2 linked regions of the Cricetulus griseus genome follow. The protein of the gene in region 2 purifies or fractionates together with the protein of the main gene of each other region. This does not show direct contact. Links are inferred from orthologs where the notes say so. Each region holds a gene or a part of one and is shown on either strand. Other genes may lie near its edges.

Region 1 (3,652 bases), on a different chromosome or scaffold from region 2:
AGAGAGAGAGAGAGAGAGAGAGAGAGAGAGAGAGAGAGAGAGAGAGAGTAACTGTCTCTGTAGACTCTCCAGAAAATTGTAGACAACTCTCACTTACCTTATTTTAGAATTTTATTTATTTTGCGTGTTCTTAGTGTGGGGTGATAGAGGCTTGAGGTGGCTTCCTTATGGCAAGTGTGTGGGGGTCAGAGGACAGCTTGTGGGACTTGGTTCTCTCCAACCACCATATGGGTCCCAGGCATTCAATGCCTATCTTCATTTCATGCTTGGTGGCAAGACTTTACCTGATGCCATTTTACTGCCCTGTTGGTTTGTTTTTTTTTAATGTCTGATTTTAAGTATTCTTTCCAAATACACTTTGAGGGCATGTGGTTTTCATTGTGGGTGGAGGGTTACGAGCTGACAAATAAGAAACCACACCCAAGTTTCATAAACCAGAGGGTTTTTTTTTTCTCTCTCCCTTTGAGACAGGTTTTCTTTGTGTAGCCCTAGCAGTTCTATAGCTCGCTTTGTAGACCATGCTGTGCCTCGAACTCACAGAAATCCAACTGACTCTGCCTTCCAAGTGCTGGGACTAAAGGTGTGCACCACCACGAGATTCTTTTAATTGTAGAAATTGAAAATCTCAAAGCTACTGATAAATTACAGAAAAATACATTCTAGATTAAAATTATATTCTCATTTTCCTATAGTTAGAAAACTAATAACACCGACACTCTGTTTTTTGGATAGACCAGGCTGGCCACAAACTCATTATAGAAGCCGAAGATGACTTTGCGCTCCTGTGCTTCCTACATTCACCTCCCAGGATAGCAGGCCTATGCTACTATGTCTCACTTCCCTTACTTTAAGTAACTGAATTATTTTTGCTGGGATTTTTTATACTTTCTTTTTTGCTGTTTGTTTTTTGTTTGTTGGTTGGTTTTTGAGACAGGGCTTCTCTGTATTGCTTTGGAGATTGTCCTGGAACTAGCTCTTGTAGACCAGGCTGGTCTCGAACTCACAGACATCCGCCTGCCTCTACCTCCTGAGTGCTGGGACCAAAGGCGTGTGCCACCATTGCCCAACTTTTTGTTGTTTTTTGGGACAGGATTTCTCTTTGTAGCCTGGGACTCACTCTATAAACCAGGCGGCTGGCCTCAAACTCAGAAATCAGCCTGCCTCTGTCTCTCGAGTGCTGGGATTAAAGGTTTGTACCACCACCATCCAGCCTGGGGTTTTCATACTTTCAGTTAGTTCTATTACATATTTATTAATGGTATTTCTAGTTTTCTTTTGTCATTAAAAAGACATTCATTGTCAGGTGGTAGTGACTGGCACACGCCTTTAATCCCCAGCACTCAGGAGGCAGAAGCAGGTAGATCTCTGAGCTCAAGGCCAGACTATTCCAGGACAACCAGAGTTACACAGAGAAACCATCTGTCTTGAAAAACCAAAAAGAAAAAGAAAAAAGAAAAAAGTTTTGCCGAGTGGTGGCACACACCTTTAATCCCAGCACTTGGGAGGCACAGGCAGAGAGTTCCAGGACAGGCTCTAAAGCTACACAAAGAAACCCTGTCTCGAAAAACCAAACCAAATAATAATAATAATAATAATAATAATAATAATAATATAAAAGAAAGAAAGAAAGCAGCTAACTAAGCCATAGAGAGCAAACCAGGAAGCAGCACTTATTCATGGCTTCTACTGTAGGTCTTGCCTGAGTTCTTGCTGTGGCTTCAGTCAGTGGATTGTGACCTGGGCTGTGTAAGCCAAGTAAACCCTTTATTCTCCATGGTCTTTATCAGCTAACTTAGGACGGGGTGTCTTGCCATGCCTCCTGAGACCTAGAATTATATGACACCATACCTTGTGCCGTAGTTTTGTTTCCTGTTTCTGTGATAAAATACCCTGACAAAACCAACTTGAGGGAGCCGGGCATTGGTAGCACACGCCTTTAATCCCAGCACACGGGAGGCAGAGGCAGGCAGACCTCTGTGAGTTCGAGACCAGCCTGGTCTACAAGAGCTAGTTCCAGGACAGCCTCCAAAGCCACAGAGAAACCCTGTGAAACCCTGTCTCGAAAAACAAAAAAACAAAAACAAACAACAACAAAAAAAAACCAACTCAGTTTTGGGTTATACTCCATCACTGTGGAGGTCAAGGAAACAGCTCTTGGAGCAGCTCACCACAGTGGAGGCCAGATCGAGAACAGTGAATGAATGCTGTCTGCTAGTGCTCGGCTTCCTTTCTGGGTTATGTGTTTGTATGTGGAGTGGGCATGTGTGTGTATACCCCAGCTGTAGACCTGAAGAGGGTGGGTGTCAGAGTGCTGGCAACTGAACTCCAGTCCTCTGCAAGGACAAGTTCTCTTAACTGCTAAGCCAAGTGTCCAGCTGTCTGGTGCCACTCACAGTGGGTAGTTGGTGCCACATCCGCTCCATCAAGAGAATTCCCCACAGACATATTCTCAGGCCACCCTAACTTACACAGTCATTGAGAGTCCCTTCCCAGGTGGGTCTCTGTTGTATCAGATATTAACTCATTTGTCCTCCAGAAAGGCTCTACCAGTTTATGTTTCTACCAGGGGTTGGGGGAGGGCTCATTGTTGGGTTCCAACCGGAAGATGGATAGTAATACCTCTCTTTCCTTCTAAGAGCCATGGCAATGACAGGGTCAACACCTTGCTCATCCATGAGCAATCATACGAAAGAAAGGGTGACAATGACCAAAGTGACACTGGAGAATTTCTACAGCAACCTTATTGCTCAGCATGAAGAACGAGAAATGAGGTAAAGAATTCTGCTTGAAAACATTATATTTTGGGGCTGGGGAGTTTGCTCAGTGGTAGAGTGCCTACGTATCATATACAAGGCAAAAAACAAAACAGAGACAAGAATGAAAAGCGTGCTGTGGTTACGTGTTGTAGCATGTGCTGTACACAAAAGGAGAGCAGGGTGGCAGCAGCTATGTTATAGTTATATGTTATAGTGAGTGCCAGTGTGGCAGATTGCCAGATCCTTTCTATTACAGCCATATCTACTGGTCACTGACTCAGTTCTGTTGCATTATAAAAAGAAATAGGGTCATATCACTTGCATTCATCATTAAAGCAGGGTGATCTAGTCAGGTTGCTCCTTGGGTGTTTGAACCCTGAGTCTTGACTAGCCACTGTGTGAGGCTGGATCTAGAGCTAGTTCTTGAAGGTCTCTGCTTGTCAGCTCCCTCACCAGGAAGGTGGGGATGATGCTGTCTTGAAGGATTGCTGTAACATGTGAGCTCCTGCCATTCTAAAGACTAAGCCAATGATGATGTGAGAGCTGTTTCATTTAAAAAACACCCAAAAACCATTAGGTCTCACTAGGTAGCCCTGACTGTCCTGGAACTTACTCTGTAGACCAGGCTGGCTTCGAACTTACAGACATCTGTCTGCCTCTGCCTCCTGAGTGCTGGGATTAAAGGTGTGCGCCACCAATGCCCAGCTTACTTTATTTTTTGATATGGTCAAACATGTAGCCTTGCCTGGCCCTTTGCCAATCCAGTCTCAGCTTCCCAAGTGCTGCTGTTATAGGCGTGTGCTATGGTTTCACTTCAGACAAGACTTCTGCATGGGGCGATATGTGGAAACTGTGGAGATAAAAGAAAGAGTAAAACTAAAACTCATTTGGGAGTT
Region 2 (3,652 bases):
GAACTCACTATGTAGCCCAGAATGGCCTGGAACTACTCCTGTGTCTGCCTCCCAAGTGCTGGAATTACAGGTCTGTACCATACATACCATGCTACACCTGGCCTTTCTAACAAACTATGAATGAACCAGTTCTGGCATTCTGGTTTTCTAATATAAAGGCAAGAAGGCTTAGTGAGACTTGCCAGAACTGCTGAGATTTCAAAGAGGATCAAGGCCCATGTGACAGTGTGGCACAATTAGCAACGCACATAACTCTCCCTCAGGTTGGAATTGGGATGCCGGAATGGACTCCTTGGGGACACACTGGCAGCCACTGCTGGCCCTGGCTTGCCACTTCTACATCGGAGCTGAGCTGTCGCATGGAGTCTCCTGCTATGGATGCCCCTGACTGCACCTTCCACTCACTCCCAGCCACCACTGAAGCCAGCCCTGAAAATTACCGGACATATTCCTTCTTGTTTTCCTCAGTGACAGGCACATTTCTGCCATTGGGTTTCAGTTCGTGCTGAAGGATCCGCCCAAAAGCATTGTGCTCCACACAGAAGGTATGGTCCAGCACTGGTGTGATGTCATTCTCTCTGTGGACATAGGCAAAAGCTGGTTAGGCCCATGCCAGAGAGTTCTAGGGGGCCGTGCTGAACACTGGCAGACACAACTCATGTTCTGTCCCTGGCTTTATGATTCTCATTCATGGGGTGGGGGTGGGGGTGGGGGGGTCACTCTCACCCTGTGACACCTTGGGACATGAGGCCCTGTGAAGAGATGGCAGAGTCGAAAGGACTAAGGCATGAAAATAAGGCTCCTCTCTCCTCAGGGCAGCCTTTCAAAGGCACCTATCCTACAAAAAAGCACTTGAAATGTCAGACTTACTTTTTATCTGCCCTACCTCTTGACAACCAGAAGGGCAGATTCCCCACAGAAAACCCCCACCCCCAAGCCCTGCATGGCAGAGCATGCAAAGCCAAGGAAGAAGGTCCCAGGCCAGACACCACACAACAGCTTCCCTGGCCTGTCTAGGCTGGGTCTTCCACAGGGACAACCAAGCCACAGTTCATCCTGGTTAACTCTAAAGCAAAGGTAAACACTCATTTTGTCTTGATACTTTTCTTGCCTTCTACAGATCACCTGAGAAACTGGAGGTGCTTGCTCCCTCTCCCACCCACCCACCCCCACACACATCAAAAAGGTTACTGGCATTTGTAATCAAACCTAAAAAAAAAAAAAAAAAAAAAAAAAGCTTGTGAAAAGAAACTTGCTAAGCATTATTAAGAATATAAGTCAGTTGTTAATTTGTAACGCAATGCAATGGTTGTTGTTATAGTTTTGTTACTTTCACCTAGTTTCACACCTATTCCCCCAAAGCCTGTGCACACACAACAGACACACCATGAGCTGAGGACAGGATGGTGACACTTACAGAATCCACACCAAACTCTTGTGCAGTTCTGGGTCCACTGACTCCAGATCCGACAGCTGGATGGGTTTTCCCAGGAGCTGCTTGTAGAATGGGACTGTGAAGCCCCCATTTATGTAGTGCCCATGGAACACAGCCAGACCCATGATGCGACCCACAAAGTGGAAGTAAGACAGATGGTCCTGTAGGGGGCACCAGAGAACAGCAAGTTATTAGAAGATGACCTGCCAGCATGGGCGCAGGCTTCCAGGGACTCTGGAAGTAACAGGGCTTATCCTCAGCTTCCACCTCCACCTGTGGCCAGGCAGGATCCGCTGCAGGTTTAAGGACATTTCTGTATGTGTACATGTGGGTGTGTGCATATCAAAGTCCAAGGTCACCTTCATTCCTCAAGTGCTGCCCACTGATTTTGAGCCAGGATCTCTCGTTGAACTTGGATCTGACCTATCAGGCTGGCCAGCCAGCAAGTTCCAGGGATCGCATCCACCTTCCCACTGCATGCACTTCCATACCTAACTTTTGGGGGAGGGGGTTGTTTGGTCTTGTAAGACACAGGGTCTCTTTACATAGCCTTGGCTGTTCTAGATCTTGCTCTATAGACCAGGCTGATCTTGAACTCACAGAGATCCACCTGCCTCTGCCTCCCGAGTGCTGGAATTAAAGGTGTGCGCCACCACCCCCAGCCACAATTGGCTTCCTGGTAGGTTCTGCAGTCTAAATGGGTCTTTAGCTTGTGTGGATGAGCCATCTTCCCAGCCACAGGTTTATTTGTATTGGAATTCTCTAGTAGACTGAGTCCCTAATCCCAATTCTGTGGCCTTGTGACACTGTAGGATATGGTCCTACAGAGGTCCGCCATGGTCTTAAACCAATCCACGGATGCATCTCTCATACCTACCACGTGCTGAGTGTTCACATTTGTAGCCTAAAGAGCTAATTATGGAACTTTTCCAATTTTCATCAGAGTATGACTTAGTAACCTAGATCTTAAAGTGACATCAAAACAAAAAAACCCCACAAGATCCATCACCAAACCAAGGCAGAGTCGTTCCCCCCTCCCCTCAGAGGGCAGAGCAGCTCAGAGACACAGCCCTTCCTACATACAGCAGGCACCTGTTGTAAGCCTGGCTAAAATCCAGGTTGGAGCCAGGTTCTGCAAGTCGGTGCTCTCACCCCTGCCCTGAGCTCTCATCAGCATCATCTCTAAGTTACCAAGTACTGGTGGAAACCAGATTTGCCTCAAAAACTCCAGCTAGATTCCTAAAGTCTTCATTGGGAACACTCACAGGGTTGACAGAAGAATCTGGGTTGATTTGCAGAGTGTAAATATTGTCCGTGGAATACTGGAAGAGTCCATAATACGGATTCAACATTTCATGGCACAACAAATACAGCCACTCCCTGGGAACAAAACAACACAGCTCACATGTGTGTTTCCTTTCAGCTAACAGTATTGTTTTCCAGATTTTTTTTAAGGTATTTTTAAATGTATGCCACATGCATATATTTAAGTGCCCAAGGAAGCCAAAAGAGGGCATCAGATCCCCTGGTGCTGGTTACATGAGGTTGTGAACTGCCATGTGGACGCTGGGAACTAAGGTCAGGTCCTCTGCAGGAACAGGAAGGCGCTCCTAACTGCTATAGTAAAGGGTTTGGGAAGCAGAGACTTCATGCACAACTTTTAATTTCCTGCTCAATTCTTCCTTTAGACCATAAGCACAGACCACCTTCCTTCTCCCCGCCCCCCCAGACAGGGTTTCTCTGTGGCTTTGGAGGTTGTCCTGGAACTAGCTCTTGTAGACCAGGCTGGTCTCGAACTCATAGAGATCCACCTGCCTCTGCCTCTGCCTCCCGAGTACTGGGATTAAAGGCGTGCACCACCACCGCCCGGCTAACACCTTCCTTTTTAACGTTTTATTCGTGTGCACATGTATGTGTCCATGTGAAGGGCAGAGATTGACCTCAGATGTCTTCCTCAGTTGCTCTCCAGCTTATTTTTTGAGCCAGGGAGCCCAGGGATCCTCCTGTCTCCAACGCCCCAGCTCCCCAGGCACATGTCACTGTGCTGGGCTTTTACATGGGTTTCAAGGCTTGAGCTCAGGACCTTCTGCTTTCAGGGCAAGCACTTTGCAGGTGGAACCATATCCACAGCCTAGTCATCCCTAGTCATGTAATGTAAAAAACTGGATGAATCTAAAAACATCAGAGTTTTAGAATTCTGGTGGGATTTCTCAACCG

The links.
Region 1: the proteins of Smurf1 (region 2) and Stk38 purify together in Homo sapiens (affinity purification with western blotting; 3 studies listed by BioGRID, with this or other methods). This does not show direct contact. The link is inferred for Cricetulus griseus from reciprocal best matches to the Homo sapiens genes SMURF1 and STK38.

What each region holds. Positions count from the first base shown.
Region 1 is NW_023276806.1:257,506,126-257,509,777, reverse strand, and holds part of Stk38 (serine/threonine-protein kinase 38), read left to right. Parts: intron 1-2,636; exon of another isoform or gene 2,637-2,638; 5' UTR 2,639-2,640; coding exon 2,641-2,771; intron 2,772-3,652. UniProt on the Homo sapiens protein: Serine/threonine-protein kinase that acts as a negative regulator of MAP3K1/2 signaling. Converts MAP3K2 from its phosphorylated form to its non-phosphorylated form and inhibits autophosphorylation of MAP3K2.
Region 2 is NC_048597.1:81,292,558-81,296,209, forward strand, and holds part of Smurf1 (E3 ubiquitin-protein ligase SMURF1), read right to left. Parts: intron 2,816-3,652; coding exon 2,701-2,815; intron 1,597-2,700; coding exon 1,418-1,596; intron 579-1,417; coding exon 441-578; intron 1-440. UniProt on the Homo sapiens protein: E3 ubiquitin-protein ligase that acts as a negative regulator of BMP signaling pathway. Mediates ubiquitination and degradation of SMAD1 and SMAD5, 2 receptor-regulated SMADs specific for the BMP pathway.